2 linked regions of the Canis lupus familiaris genome follow. The protein of the gene in region 2 binds, or shares a complex with, the protein of the main gene of each other region. Links are inferred from orthologs where the notes say so. Each region holds a gene or a part of one and is shown on either strand. Other genes may lie near its edges.

The links.
Region 1: the proteins of RHOA (region 2) and ARHGEF12 are in contact, whole or in part, in a crystal structure (PDB 1X86), measured with the Homo sapiens proteins. The link is inferred for Canis lupus familiaris from reciprocal best matches to the Homo sapiens genes RHOA and ARHGEF12. Residues at the interface, in NP_001300870.1 of Homo sapiens: Arg5, Lys7, Thr19, Lys27, Val33, Tyr34, Pro36, Thr37, Val38, Phe39, Glu40, Asn41, Val43, Asp45, Glu54, Trp58, Asp59, Ala61, Gly62, Gln63, Tyr66, Asp67, Arg68, Leu69, Leu72, Ser73, Asp76, Glu97; in NP_056128.1 of Homo sapiens: Pro766, Asn768, Gln770, Glu790, Val791, Glu794, Thr798, Ala801, Cys888, Gln891, Pro892, Lys899, Arg922, Arg923, Leu924, Gln925, Lys927, Asp928, Pro931, Thr932, Met934, Gln935, Thr938, Lys939, Leu942, Leu943, Asn946, Arg968, Leu971, Asn972.

What each region holds. Positions count from the first base shown.
Region 1 is NC_049226.1:13,546,383-13,554,003, forward strand, and holds part of ARHGEF12 (rho guanine nucleotide exchange factor 12), read right to left. Parts: intron 5,390-7,621; coding exon 4,922-5,389; intron 4,102-4,921; coding exon 3,785-4,101; intron 2,728-3,784; coding exon 2,658-2,727; intron 1,822-2,657; coding exon 1,811-1,821; 3' UTR 1-1,810. UniProt on the Homo sapiens protein: May play a role in the regulation of RhoA GTPase by guanine nucleotide-binding alpha-12 (GNA12) and alpha-13 (GNA13). Acts as guanine nucleotide exchange factor (GEF) for RhoA GTPase and may act as GTPase-activating protein (GAP) for GNA12 and GNA13.
Region 2 is NC_049241.1:40,228,130-40,236,394, forward strand, and holds the start of RHOA (transforming protein RhoA), read left to right. Parts: upstream 1-3,421; 5' UTR 3,422-3,590; intron 3,591-7,646; 5' UTR 7,647-7,723; intron 7,724-8,265. Other genes in the region: TCTA (T-cell leukemia translocation-altered gene protein), read right to left, coding at 1,064-1,103, 2,393-2,495, 2,771-2,993. UniProt on the Homo sapiens protein: Small GTPase which cycles between an active GTP-bound and an inactive GDP-bound state.

The DNA.
Region 1 (7,621 bases), on a different chromosome or scaffold from region 2:
TGGTCCAAGTTGGTCTACTTAAAAACACAGGTCAGACTTGAAAAGGCAGGAAATAGGAATGTGGACAGAGATGAGCTTGTCAAGTCGTAGTGGTGTTTACAGGAGGAGTAGGGAATCATCATTACTTGCGATGAGAGTGCCGGGGAAGAGGAAAGTCACATCCCGATTACCCCCAGGGTTCAGAGGGCACTACTGAAAGGTGTGAGCAGTGGAGGAACACGCGTTGCGTATTAACAGAACTGGAAGATTTGACCAATGATTTCGTTTTAGTTGGCAAAAATACTCCAAGACGTGTATACCCGATGCACAAGGAAAACCACAGAAAGCCAACGTAACTGACGGAGTTCTCCAGTTACGATTCTGAAACATCTGTCCCCTGCAGGGTGCTGCCCATTCTACAAGTCACTCTAGAGCAGCCAGCCAGCAACCCCTTGCCCACAGTTTCCAGTGTATGTTCTGGTCTGCAATTTGTAAGGTCACGCACCAGTGTGGAGAAAGCTCCGGCAGCGAAGTCAGAGGAAGTGCTTCTGGAGCTGGTTTGAGCAGCCCTGCCTTCTCCACCACCTCTCTCTCCGCTCCACGCGTGGCTCTTCTTTTAACTCAAAGAGCCCTTTGGCACCATCAGTGCAAAATTAATATTCGAGTTAAACCTCCAGGTACTAAAATTTTACTGGCCTTCTATTCAGCAGTACCCGTGGCTAATGAGAGCCATGGTTCAACTCAGTAGTGATTCCGTTAGATAACCTTCCTAGACTCTTGCCCCCGCTCCCAACCCACCCCTCCTCAGCAGCCCCCACCCCTGCCACCAGTTGAAGCATCTTTGTTTGTTTTCTTCCTTCCTGCTCAATCTGCAGGGATAATTTTCCACAAGTGCCGAAGTCTAATGTATCATCATAAAAATGAAACAATACCAAGAATAACAAATTTATAGCCAAGAAAATAAAATTTGCTTTCCTCCCCCTCCCAAGTCCCTCCCCTCAATAGAAAAAAAGACAAAAGAAGAAAACACACCCATTTTCAAGTGCCTGCTATTTAGTACATTGAGGATTTCTGTTAATTGCAGGTGGAGCCCAGCTACAGAGAAGAGGTGCTTGCCTCAGGTGGGAGGAAGCCCACCTAACTCTGCCCACCTGGGCAGCACACAGCTCGAGTCCTCTGTGCACAGGAACCACGGGCATGCTGTGCCTTCAAGGAGGTGCTCCTCAACGAAGACGCCTACTGGACAGCAGGGGCCACGGGACAGACTTCAGTGAAGGCTGGATGCTCCTCCCTCCCCCGGCTTACCCTCTCTCCACCTCTCTACCCAGCCTCCCAATACCTCATCCGGAACTCTTGGCTTCAGGGGCAACTGACCCTTGGGTGTCCTAAATACAAAGGGCTAAAACTCTCACTACTCAATTAAAACAAAACATGGCAAAATAAAAATTAAAATGTGCTTTCAAATACGGAATGAAGTCAAATAAATACATCTGATTTTTCTCTTCTTCTTAAGTCTAAGTAAAATTTCATATCCTACACCCAAAGCTCTATACATTTGGTTTTTGTTCTGAATCAAAATGAATTTCCGATGGTGAGGAGCGCAGAGCGAGAGAGTCAAGGCTCCCTCACTGACAGGCTAGTGCAGCTGCCGGACTTGGAAGAACTAGTCCCGCTCTGGGCGCCCAGGCACGCGGCGACCCCTGGGGTGGGGGGTTCACAGGCAGACCCTCCGTCACACACTCTCTCTGCGTCCACGCTGCAGCCAGGATGGGTGATACAAGGCCGGTGCTCAGAGTCCAACAACCTTCAGTCACCTCCAGGACACGTGGTTCTAACTCTTATCTGGGAAGAATAATGATAGGCAGAGATCAAATTAAGAACAGACTAATAGAGAATACCTAGGCACCTGTGGGGCTTGTTGTGTGTGTCTTTCTGGATTAGAAAGGCCTCATTCAAGGGGCGCCTGGGTGGCTCAGTGGTTGAGCGTCTGCCTTTGGCTCAGGTCGTGATCCCGGGGTCCTGGGATCGAGTTCCACATTGGGCTCCCTGTAGGAAGCTTGCCTCTCCCTCTGCCTATGTCTCTGCCTCTCTCTGTGTCTCTCGTGAGTAAATAAATAAAATCTTGAAAAAAAAAAAAAAAAAAGAAAGGCCTCATTCACTCATTCAAAACCATGTGAGCCAACAACAGAGTACAAATTGCTGCACTGAGCACAGATCCATTTGCGATCACGGGGAGATGGCGCTCTCGCTATTAGGACAGATACCCACGTCCAGCAAGGCCTGGCGGGCCCAGAGCCTCCCTCGGCAGCACTGGCAGGGTCTCAGGGATCTAGGATTTATCAGGCTTACCCCTGCCCTGTTTTCTGCTTTTGCAAAGGTGAAGTAAAGCCTGGGGTGGGTAGAGGAGAGGGGTGGGTAGAGGGGAGGAGTGGGGAGCCAGGGGGCCGGGGAGGACGGCACAAGAACTGACAACCACAGCTTCTCTTAGAAAAGGAAGAGCAGAGTCAGCAAACAACAGCCTCTGCTTGATATATGATGTTTGGAAACAAGTGGTTTTTTAAAGACAGGAAAGAAATGGAATCTCAGAAGGTTTCCACTTTAAAGAATAATAAATCATTCTGTTGGACGTACTGTTGGCAGAATGATTCTAGAGTCTGGAATCCACGATTTTCACATACCTGAGTGCTTGTCTGTGAGGGCTGATCCAGCCAGCCTTTGGCAAAGAATGCTGTAACTCTCTTCCACCTTCTGTAAGATAAAACCCACGGGGTTCTCATTTGAACATCATAATTTTCCTTTATGAAAACAGGGAAGAAACCTTTTCATATTGCCAGTACATGCTTCTAGATTTCAACATGAATGTTGTTAAAGATTTTGTTAGTGAGGAAGAAAAGTGAACCGCATTCCTTTTACCTGTCTCTCCCTTGAGTAACCTATAACTTCTTCAGGTTAAAGATGATTCCCCCACCCCCGGAGGCACCCTGAAGACGGCCCCACGGGGGACAGGAGCTGCATTAGAGCCAGCTGGCCCACGATGGCCTTCTAGATACCTCGTCTGCCCTTGGATGACACTCCTTATAATCACATGAAGAAGGGAAAACCTATCACATAAAGCTAAATGAAAAACTAAGGGAGACCATTCTTCAGCTCAAAGGCTTCTAAGAACACTTTTAATGTTGTCCCTAAGCCTCTAACTAAACCAAGTCATGAAAAAAATGTTTAGGTGCTGGCAGCTGTGTCTACCGATGACAAACTTTAAGTCCTTTTCTCAGAAATCACCACATAAGTCAGCTTTGAAATAGTGGCCTGTACAGTGACAACTTCAACTCCAATTCACAAAAATCCTTTCGTGCGCCGGTCTCCAGATCACAGGGGCCCCTGGAGCCAATTTCTGTGTGTTAGAGTGTCTGGGAAACTACCTGTATCGCCCTAACAATTCATAGATAATTCATAAGTGAAAGCATTTTCTAGAGGAGACACGAGCCCTGCCCATGCCACTGGCTTGCTGTTCACGTTTTCTCACAGAGGCCAGCCAATCATCCCAAATATACTTGGGTTCTTACACGGAGAAACCCACACAAGCAGGCAGTCTACAGCCCTACGGTGTTTCTGTTCTTGTGATCTGCAACCAGTTGAACCATACTGTTCTCAGCTTTCTATCCAAGACTACTTATGGGTAATGGTCAAGGAGAACAGCAAATCTAGAACCTGAACAAGCTCACCGGCATCAACATTTTGACTATCCTCTACCTCCCTCCTCTCTGTTTCTTTACCCAAGCCACGAGGACGCTGAGGTCTGAGGTACCTTTAGGTGTTCTAGGTCAGCCTCGATCTTACGAATGTACTCCATGATCTGGCTTTGTGAGTCTGCACAAGAGGGGGGGCTCTGGATCTCAAAACAGGAATCCTCCATAGCTCCCCAGCGCTGCTGGACCAGGAATTCTGGGGTGAATGGTGAAGCCGCCCCATCGGAATGGGCATGCTGGGGAGAGTGCTGCTGTGGGCGGGCACAGTCCATGGCGGGGATGCCTGCCGTGGGCGGCGGGGGAAGCGAGGAAGCAACCTCCTCGTCCGTGGAGCTCTCCTGCACCGCTTCATAGCCATCAAGAATCAAATAGTTTCCTGTTGACAGACACAACAGCTTGATGAGCTTCACGCTGCCATCCTCACATCAAAAAAGAGAGATGAGGTGATATGCTGACAACCTTAAAAGCCATTAAAGATGGAGGAAAGCCATCAATTCCCCACTTCCCAGGTTCAGTTTTAAGTACAGCAGAGTCTTCTCACTTCAGGTAAAAGCTAAACTTAGCAAACTTTCATATTTCCGAATAATTTCACATTAGTGAGCATCTTAAAAGTTACAAGCTGGAAACTACCAAGTCCCCGTATGATCCTGCCACCACTTCCCCGGCCACAGAGCTCTCATGCCTCACCTCCCACCATCTTCCCCCCTCACCCCTGCATGCCGTCACTACCAAGCACCTGCTGGCAGCCTGGGTGCCCTGGTTCTCTGCTGGACCCCCCTGCTCCCGCACACCACACAGCTTCTTCCCTCACTCCCCAGGTGGCTCTTGCTCTCATGCTACCTCACTGAGGCCCTCTTCCCTGATCACCCTGTCTGCCCCTGGGTCTGACTTATGTGCCCTCCTAATTCCTCTGACATCTGTTTACTTATTTACCATGACTGTTTCCTCACCAGTACTTAAGCTTCACAAGGACAATGGATTTTTTTCTGTGTTTTACTCGATGCCGTATTTCCCAGCACTCAGGATGGGGTCTGGCACTGAGCAGATTCAGTAATTATTTACTGCGTCAAAGAATAAACCCTACACATACACATACACACAGAGGATGACGTGTGGGTACCCAAACAACATCCATCTCAGCACATCACTTAGCTAATAACAATCAAAATCAAAGTTTGACTGTGAAAGAAACTTGCCTGAGATGCGCAAATTAACATCCTCTTCCTTCTTAACTGCTCCATCACCTTCTGATGGATTATCATCACTATGTGCTTCACGGGCATCAAAAAAGTGCTCTCCACTCTCATCAAGACTCCCTTCTGGCTCTGCAGGAGGCATCTCTGGGGTCATAATCATGTGGTCCATTACTAAAATGTTACTTGCCTGGCTCTCTTGGAATGCCAGGACCACTGAATCCCGTGGAGCAGAAGATTCAGTGGAAGTCCGTGGACTGTAACAAGTTGAAATGTCACCAGTTCCAGTTCTAAAGGGCATCTGTCCTTCACCAGGAGGATAGGCCTTACTGTTTTCAGAGTTCTGGGTTCCACTGTCTGTCTGCACCCCTGAAGACGCCGTCCTGTATCTCGGGAAATGTGGCCAGTCTTCCTGAGCACTCTTCTCGGTCAAACCCAGCTGTTGGACGAGCAACTGCTTCAGCAAGCCCACTGGAAGATTTAGGAAGGGAGAGGAAAAAATCACATTCACAACAGCACCCGCAGACTGCCAGGACTAAATTAGTTTGAGGAATTAACCATTATTTCTAAAAGTAAGTACCTTTTAGTAACATAAAGTCGAAATATTAATTTCGTACAATCATTTCTTGGTTTTGCATTGAAAACTGAAATAAAGCGCTATCGAGAGCAGATTTAATATTAAACGAGACTTGGAAAGATGTAAGCCCTCTGAATGAGGAGGCACTCCTAAATAACCAATACCAGGCCTACCTCTCTTTTTTTTTTTTCCTCCACGTAACCTGAATGATACCCTTAAGGAACTTCTTAAAAGGATGTTAAAAAGCTGTGTTATGCTAGAAAAGAAGCCCTGAAAAAGTTTGCTTTTTCCAGAAGCAGACAGTATATAACACAGGCGTTATTTTTTCCAACTTATTAGACACACAGAACATTTATTTTATCATTTATAATAATCCATGGAATCCTTAAGTGGTGAAGAAAATAAAGCTGCCCTGTAGTAAGATCGACTTTCAGGGGCTCCTGGGTGGCTCCGTGGCTAAACGTCTGCCTTCAGCTCAGGTCATGATCTCAGGTCCTGAGATCGAGTCCCCTGCTAAGCAGGTAGCCTGCTTCTCCCTCTCCCTCTGCCTGTCACTCCCCCTGCTTATACTGTCTCTCTATCTGTCAAATGAAAACAAAATTTACTTTCAATGACTTGAAAGCATGCATACTTCTGAAGAAGAAAATGTTTTTTAGTTTTTAAAAATGACCTCACAGATGAGAAACTTCCTTGGGCTGTTAAAAAGAGAAGCGACTTAATTTTAAATGGGCAAGTGTATGCTGTGAGGCCACTTAGCCAATGACAGAGTCACTGCGACAGTGTCAAACTCTGAGAAATCATTCTGACTGCTCATTCAGGAGAATTGACAATAAATTAGATCTTAGAGAACGTGACCGATTCTGTACTTTTAACTCTGGCTTAATTTCTATCTCCTGTTTCTTTTGACAAACAGTCTCCACACAGGTCTGGACATTAGCCCTCTGTTCTTTGGTTCTACCAATACTCCCTGAGAGATGCTATGCGTTCCTACGGCTCTGACACTCAAATCCATCCTTTCCCTACCCTCTTGCCAAAGCTCTAGTCTTAAGATTCCAACTTCCTGCTTGTTACTTCCTCTTAAATAGCCTGCCACTTTTTAAATTGATCCCATAGTCTCTGGCAAACAAAGAAAAAGGCGGGGGAAGAGTGCAGCAGTGACCAGTGGTGGTCCTTCCTGACTCTGATTTCTGACAAGAACACTGAAATTATCTAAATACTGCCCTTTTCTTAGCCCTGATACCAACCAAGCCAATCGTTTGAAGTATTTCTTGACTCCCCACTTTATTTATTTATTTATAATAATAACTTTATTTTTTATTGGTGTTCAATTTGTCCCCACTTTATTTTTATTCCTCTGATACTGTTCTAGTCCAAACCGTTTTAGCCTCAAGCCCAGGCTACTACAGCGGCTTCACCCTAGCCATGATTTCCTGGCCTCCTCTCACTCCAACCCTTCTACCCTCTCAGCCAGAGCCATCTGTTCTTACTGGTCACACCCTAGCTTAAAAACTTCAAATGGTTCTCTGCAGCTAGAGAAACCCTTCTCAGCCTTTCCCCACTGCCAGTACACCTGTGAGATGGGACAGGCTCCCATTTGTGATTTTCAGCCAGCTGGAGAGGGAAGGGGAGGGGGTAGCCAAGGGCAAGGGCCACCCATCTTGTGAGTATGCGGGTGTGTGTGTCATGGAGGGAAAGAGAAGAAGGGGAGGAGGAGGGAGAGGATGGGTCAGAGTGGGGGGGGGGGGGAAGAGAGAGAGAGAGAGAGAAAGAGAGAGAATCTTAAGCAGGTTCTATGTCCAGTGTAGGCCCGATGTGGGGCTCGATCTCATGACCCTGAGATGACGACCTGAGCCAAAATCAAGAGTTGGATGCTTGACTGACTGAGCCCCCCTAGGTGCCCCAGGTGCTGTGCCATCCTTAAAATCCAGAGCACTCAATGTAGTTGTCAAGGTTCACAATGGCTGGCCTCCGCATCCTGTTTTCTACCCTTCCTCTCCCATGCCTCTTCTGGTTATGTGAGCACCCTCAGGACCTCGGGCCTCTGTGTTCTGGTCCGACCATTATTCTTACCTGCATATTTTCTGCACACCTATCTGAATCTTACCTACTCTTCAAGGCGATAATCA
Region 2 (8,265 bases):
GCAGAAGCAGGAATACAGCCTTCAGGAAAGGAGACAATTCTAGGGTTATGCTGTTTTCAGAAACTGGCATGTGCCATCCACACATTTGGAAGCTCCCTTGGCCCACTGTCTAAATGGCGGCCTATGGCTCTTCCCTGTTGAGAGTTCTTGGGGGCTGAGATGGTGCTAGTAGAGAGTTGCTGAGCCTGTGCCTCTTAGGATGAAGCTTATGTGGTTCCTGGTCAAGATGGGAACCGATGAAGCTGCAGGACATGGTGGGGCAGGGCCACTCCACATTACTGCTTAGTGTCTCCCTGTGAGGGGGCAGGGTACAATCTCATGGGTACTTAAAACAGTTGGGGGTGGAAGGTCACTCCCTGGGGCTCAGCCTCTTTTAGGCACCCAGTTTCCCATAAGAATTGAGAGGAGTATGAATTGATATTCAGTAAAAGACCATTTCTACAGCCTGATTCACACCTGGAAAGCTTTGGATGGACCAGGGAGGAGGGTGTTGGGTACATCTGTGTCTGGATGGTGCCAGCTCCCCCGCCTGACTCTTGAATGGCCAACTAAGTAACCACAAAGTATAAGGCCATGTCCAGTCCAGAATTCCCTGGCTTCCTGCCAACGAAGCAAACATTCAAGAAACCCAGAGCTTAGGGGAAAACAGGCTTCCTTTACAAATCCCAGAGCTGGTCAACCTCAAGTTTCCTCTCAGGACAAGTTTCTATGGGGTCATATCCCAGGCGGATGAGAAGAGGGACAGGAAAAAGCCAAGGAAGAAAATGGACAGTTGGTCTCCCCAACCCAGAGGCTTCTCCTGAGCTGACCCCTGAGAGGAGGAGCATGCCTTCTCTCCTTAAGGCACTCAGGTCAGGGTAGAGGCAAACTTTACTGGTCCAATGCCTGGGACTGCTGGAGACAAGGCCAAGGGTGGTGGAGGCCCAGGCCTGCAAGCACTGGGGTATTCCCTGCCCCCAACCCTGACCTCCCTGCCGTCGTCTCAGGTCTGGGCAGCAGCAGAACCCAGTGTGGGAACCAGCAGACCCGGTGATGTCCCTGGAGATCCCTCTGCTGCCTTCCCTTATTCTCTGTGAGTTTTGAGAGGTTCATTTGCTGTTTCCCTAAAAAGTGATGGAGAGAAGAGAAGGATTATTCTACAGGCAGCTTAACAGTCCCTGAAACTGGTTCTCTCTAGCCCTTTTAAGGGCTGAGGTGGACTCAGAAAGGCCACACTACAATCTAGACCTCTCTACTGAGTTCCCACAGCCCACTTGGTCTCCCACCTTTCTCCTGCTGACATGTTATTCCTCCTGGTTCCTCACCTTATGGAGTGCCTACCTTTTCCCAGTTGCCCAGGTTCTGGGCAGTGGCAGGCAGCCTCCTAACTGGCCTCTTGCCTTCTCTACTGGACCCCTTCATCTTCTTGCCATAAAGCGGCAGTTATAAAGGCAAGTTAGATCAGACCATAGCCTTGCTGAGTCCTTTAATAGCTTCCTGAGATTTAAGGTCAGGTTTCCTGGTCCCTCCATGCCTTCACGTTTGAGCTATAGTGTCACAGCCTTGTCTATCCTTCCAATGTGATACCCTTGTTCTTCCCCTGGGTCTTGTTCTATCCATTCTCTCTGCCTGGTACACTTAAGCACTCCCTAGCCTTTGCCCTTGGCTTAGCTGTCTGTTTTGGGAGAAAACTGACTGCCCTCACCCCCTGCTCTACTGCCCTTTCCTTTTATTATTTTTTATTTTTTTGCTGTCCTCCTTTTTAAATCTTGGGCTCCCCCTGTAAAGGGCCTGGGTTCCTTTTCTCTGGACCTAGTGTGGCCCCTGTCATGGTAGGAGCTCAGAAATTGGTTGAATGAATGCTCTTGATTAGGGAGTTGATGTTTTACAGATGAGGCGGCTGACCCTGATGAGGCCAGTCAATGCAATAAGGACAAAGGCTGGGCAGCCCGGGTGGCTCAGCGGTTTAGCGCCGCCTTCAGCCCAGGGTGTGATCCTAGACACCCAGGATCAAGTCCCATGTCAGGCTCCCTGCATGGAGCCTGCTTCTCCCTCTGCCTGTGTCTCTCATGAATAAATAAAACCTTAAAAAAAAAAAAAAGGACAAAGCCTCCTGCCTTTCTAAATTGAGGGGCTTGCAGTAGAGTTGAACTCAACAGACCTGCTACTTTATCTCTGAGATTTTGACAGTAGCACCACCAGCCCCACAGGTTGCTGAATAGCCTATCAATGGGCTGTTAAATTGGTATCATTCGAAGCCTGAGCTCCACTTGCAAGCCTTTGAGCTTGCTGCAAAGGCCACTAAACTGGTGGACTCCTGCCCTGAGAACTTCCTAGCCCTGTCCCTGTTCCCAGCATAGATGTGTCTTCTGCCTGCCAAGCATGGGGTTGACATGGGCACAGATTTACTTACCACGAAGTGAAATGCGTGGAGCCATCAGGTGTGGATCCGTTCTGGCCGCCCAGACCTGGGGGCAGGAACACATCCAGAGCTGCAGCAGGCTTGGGGTGGGAATCTGAGCAGGTATCAGCCCAGATCAAGTTAAAGGCCAGTGATGTTGTTTGATGGAGTCTTGTGGGGGCCTTAAAGGGACTAGTGGTATTGTCTGATGGAGGTTCAAGGGAGCGGTTAAAATGTGATGGGTGGTCCGGGATTTCTGGCATGAAATGGTATGTTGGCATGGGTCAGGGTAGAGCATAAAGTTGTGATGAGGTTCTTAGGAGACCAGTGGTAGTCTAGGGAGTTCTGGGGAGCCCAATGATGCAGTCCGGTGGGGATGGGGAGCCTCACCTGGGCGGTGATACAGCCCTGTTACCGTGCTCCCGTAGAACCCCCACGCCAGCTGGATGCCCAGGAGACTTATCACCAACCACAGTAGCAGCAGCTTGAAGAGGGTAACGCGCATGTCCTGCGCCTCCCACTCCCGCAGGAACTCGCTGCCCAGGGTGCCCAGTGTGCCCAGCACCAAGGTCGGCAGAGACTGCAAGGACTGCCCAGACCAAGGCTCCGCCATGACTGGCCCATGCCCCACCCGGGACTGTCACTATAGCACCCACTGCGCAGGCGTCTGGTCTTCCGGGCCAGGCCCGTTAATGCGCACGCGTAAACCAGGCAAGGCGAGTCTACTTCGCTTGCGCGAAGAGTTGGCAGTTTGGGGAGGAGTACTAAAACCGCGCACGCGCACCTAGCCCCACCCTGCTTACTTAAACGATGAGTGAGACGAGGAGCATAAAATAGCAACCAGGTCTTTTATAGCCCCGGAGTTCCCGTGATGCCCCACGCGGCTGCAGTGATTGGTTAAGCGCCCTGCTATTAGGGCGTGGACGCGCTCCTGAGCAATCGTGGCTGAGCTGTAAGTGTGCGCGCGTGCGCGGGGCCGCGGCTGGGGCCGGCTCGAGCCCGCTGGCACACGGGGGCGCGCACGTCGCTCCCCGCCCTCCCGCCGCCGACCGCCCTCGCTCGCGCTCCCCGCCCGCCGCCCGCCGTCCTCCGTCGGTTCTCTCGTTAGTTCGCCGTGGTCTTCTCAGCCACCCGCCCCAGTCTCCGAGCTTCCGACTCGCGGACAGGCGCACTCGGCGCAGAGAGGCCGGACTGCGAGTCGTCGCCTGAGGTGAGCCGAGAGGGTTCTCTCCTGGCGCCGCGGCGCCCCGGGCCCGCCCGCCGCTCTTCCGGCCTCCCGCCCGCCCGCCGCCCCGCCGCGGCCGCGCCCCACCTGCTGCTCTCAACCGGCTGCCCCTGGGCCCCGGCCCCAGCCTTCTGGCCGGGGCCCCGCTCCCCAAAGCGACGGCCCCGCCCGCGCAGTCCCCGGAAGCGCGCCCCGCGGCCTCCCGCGCCCCTTCCCCCGCCCGGCCAGGCCTGGTGGAGCCCAAGACGCCCGCCCGCGGTCCCTGGCTCTTCCTCTCTCACGGCCGTGCGGGGCAGGGCGGGGGCTTCGAGCTGGGCCCGGCGACCGCGCGGTGCAGCGGGTCCCTGCGAAGCGCGCGTGGCTGTCGGGAGTTGAAATGGGAAAGAAACTCTTTACAACTCCATCTTGGCTTTTGCATTGAATATGAAACATGAATCACCGTTTTATACGGTGTGAAGTCCAGATATGTTTTGGGTAGATTTTCTTTTTAAATGCAGTAGTTTCGGAGATTGTGTAAGTAAAGTAGTGTTGAAATCTTACGGGTTAGGATTCTTGGGTATTGAGAAGGGAATTTTCCAGTTGAAAACACTTTTTCATGATTTAAACTCTATTGCATTGAAATAGAGTATTAATTTGCAACTTTGCTTAGTCTAAGTTATTACCTTGATTGGAATCCCCTAAACATCTGTCTTTAGTTACCGATTGAACCCAGTTACAAGCTGTCTTTATTAAATAGCACTGTTTGCACTCAAATCGATTTGGTCAAGACAATGTGCAGTAGTTTATGGTGGAAAATTGGTATCCTTTTTTATCACAGTGTTTTCCACTTGTGTTTTTTTAATGGTCCTGATTTAAAGTTTTTACCAATATTGGTGATATGTTTCCTTCTTTTGGTGTTTGTCTTTGAAGTAAATGTTTTTTTATTCAGGTATGCATTTTATAGCCCTCCCTGCCAGATCTGAAGGGGAAAAATACTTAAAATTCTTTAAAATGTTATTTGTGGTGAGAATTTTTCAGTCATTTAATTTTTCAACCACTAAATGGTTGAAAATGGTACATATATGTACCATTGCAGGATTGTCACTTTAGACATGGCTAAATTGGTAGAGATACTGGTATGAGCGTTGGGCGTGACATTGTTTGGCCTGAAAGTACAAGACTAATTCTTAATTGTGAAGGAAAACTTAAAGATCTTTTGATAAATTGTTTTTTTGGTAGTTCCATCTACTTTTGTAGATGAGTGGTGGCCCTTGGGAAGCTAACAAAATAGAAGAAAACTCACTTTGAGTCAGAGTCTAGGCTTAGAGTTATGGCTTCTTTTCTCATAAAAAATTTGTACTGGAGGGAAGAAGAGAATAGAAATCCACTGACTTTTTCGTAGATCTAGAATTTTAGACCCAAAGGTATCTTCAGGACTTACGGTCTAACCCTATTTGCAGATGAGGAAACTGAGTCTCAGAGACTTACATAAATTTCCTAAGGTCATTTTTCTGGTCAGGTGCAGGCCAGAACTCTGAGGTATTCTTGTACTCTGAAACAGCTTGCTTAGAGTTAAGTAAAATTCAGGACTTATTTCCAGTATTTTCTTCTTTTACATATTACTGATTTTATATATGTTTTGAGAACCTGAAAAATTCATTTCTAAACAAACTCAGTTCTTTAGCTTTCACTGCGCTCTCCTCCCCGGAACTGGATGGTCCTACAGCAGTTGATTGAAATACATAAATGAATATACAGAGTCCCTGCTTGGCCTAGTTTTAGCTTTAGGTGTTTTGGGGGTTTTGTTCGCTTGTTTGTTTGTTTGTTTTTTTTAGAGATTTATTTAACCATTTGAGAGAGAGCACGAGCATGGGGAGGTTTTGAGGAAGAGAGAGAAACCCTAGCTGACTCCTCCCTGAGCTCGGAGGCCAACTTTGAGCCGAATCTCACAACCTGGAGATCATGATCTGAGCTGAAACCAAGAGTCTGATGCTCGACTGAGTGTACCACCCAGGGGTGTTTGGGTCTTCTTGAGGGAACAACTTCTTCCAATGTGAGGCCCAGACTCCCCTGCTCCAAAGCCCAACATAATTAGGTCAGACCAAGATGTTATAATGTGACTGAGGGCTCTTTTGCCTATTAATTTGAGGTGGGATGGTGAGAAACTGCACATATTAAGTAAATAGTTCTGTGTATGTGTGGCAGTAGTTTTATCGTATTCTCTTGTCCTGGTTGTTCTTAGAGGAGAGTGAAAACAGGTAGATATTGAGGTGGAATTCAAGCTGTGACAGGAGGAGGAGTTGCTACTTTGGGTTGTTTTAGTTCTAGAGCTGAGAGATTTATGTTAACTCTCAGAAGACAGACTGATACTTCAGCTTCTAAGAGAACGAATTTGGGCTTGCTGAGCTTCTCTAGACAACACTTTGGGTTTAATTGTATTTGGCTGCTAGTGATAATGATAAATGGTACATAATCACTGGATTTTAATCACATATATTTGTACTTTAAAAGGTACTTAAAAGTTATTTTACCTTCCTGTAGCACTTAGTTTTTAGTCTTTCATGTCCCTGGCTAGAGGAATTTTGTTTGCACCTACATATTAATGTAACTAAATTTTAAACATGTGTGTTAATGTGTCTTACTATACTGTGCTCTTTGGGGATATGCTCACTGTTAAGTACTTGTGAGATTAATAAATTAAAATTTCCAAGACAGTTTGAAGTTAATAATTACTGTAAAATTCCTATTTCAAGTGTTTCTATTTCAAATGACTCATTTTTGATCTGTGGTGCTATAGTATTATGTGAAGGCCCTGTATACTCATAATTATGGTAGTCATGTGACAGAAAAATCAGCCGTCGAAGCTGCTCATTCTGGGTGTTGGTCTGAATTTATTGGTGCTTCCTCTAGAGGACTGTGAATAATATTTTATAGTTAAAGTGGTCAAAATACGAGATACACTCAATTATATTGCAGCCGGTTTGCAGTTTGTCCCAAAATGAGCTTGTTTTGTTTTTAATGAAGAGAGTGGGTAAAGTAAATATGTTAAAGAATGTTTATAATAGTGTCTCACTATTCAGGTGAAGGTAAAGAGGAGAACATAAGTGACCAAAATATTTGGAGTGGAGTAAAGGTAGAAGTGGAATGTAAAATGAAATTAGAGAGGTGGGTGGGAACCAGATCATGTCGGGCCTTTAGGATATGGGAAGTTCTTTGGGATTATTCTGAGATGAGAAATCATTAGATGTTTTTTAGCAGGAGAATAATTTGATCTGATGTTAAATAACTAGAATCACTCACCAAGAGTAGGGGTAGATCTGAGTTCATTCTGACTTTTTTTTTTTCTCCAAAGATTTTTATTTATTCGAGAGAGAGAGACAGAGACATAGGCAGAGAGAGAAGCAGGCTCCATACAGGGAACCCAATGTGGAACTCGATCCCGGGACTCCAGGATCACACCCTGGGCAGAAGGCAGACGCTTAACCACTGAGCCACCCAGGTGTCCCTCATTCTGACTTTAAATAGTAAACTAATATTGATCATTTCTGACAAAAACATTATAAGCATTTCCTAATACTATTTTCCTTGACCTAATGACTTCACCCTGATTTTTGATTTTCTGAGTTTGTAATTTCTCTGTAATGCCTATATTAATAAGAATGTATAATTAAATAAAGCAAGTTATTCAAATGTTTGTGGTAGTCTAGGTGGTAGGTTACAGGTGTACATTGTAAGATTCCTTTAATTTAGCTGTATGTTTGAAAAGTTTTATAATTTTGGAAAATTAATTTACATAGGATTCATTTGCTTTTAAAAGGGAAATATTTAGAAAATATTCATAAGATATCATTGGTTGTGAATATTAACTGAAGGAAGCTAAGCTTGTATAAATGTGATAAATTTGGTGGTATATTAGTCAGAAATTAAATTCTACACTTTTTCTCTCTCTTGGATTCTAAATTATGTCTTGGAACTTTGGGCAAGCCTGTTTACATCCTATGTTTTGTGTTGTTCCTTGTAAAATGAATAGACATAATTCCTGATATATTTATATTTTTACAGTGCCTACATCTGAGAAGTTAAAGGCACTTGTAGAACTTCTGCCACACAGCCCGTGGGTCTTGCAGCACATTTGTAAGGTATGTAAATAGAAACTTTTTTTACTCCCTTTTTCCCATGGAAGACATGATTATATATTAATGTAAGTTCTAGGGAAATGTGAGTGCATTATTGTTAATGATTCTCTTTAGTAATCTTGAGAGGTTTTTTTTTTTTTTTAATTTTTATTTATTTATGATAGTCACAGAGAGAGAGAGAGGCAGAGACACAGGCAGAGGGAGAAGCAGGCTCCATGAACTGGGAGCCCGACGTGGGATTCGATCCCAGGTCTCCAGGATCGCGCCCTGGGCCAAAGGCAGGCGCCAAACCACTGCGCCATCCCTTGAGAGTTTTTTTTAATCTTACTCCATACGTTTTCTCTCTGGTCTTCTTATCTCTCTATGAAGTATTCCTCTAGCTTCTTTTTTCACTTCTAAGTCTGCCTGCTTTCCTTCCGAGAAGGGTGGGGAGGGGCAAAAGGAGAGAGAAACCCCAAGCAGGCTCCACGCCCAGTGCACAGCCCAATGTGGGTCTTGATCCCACAACCCCTAAATGATGGCCTGAGCCAAAACCAAGAATTGGA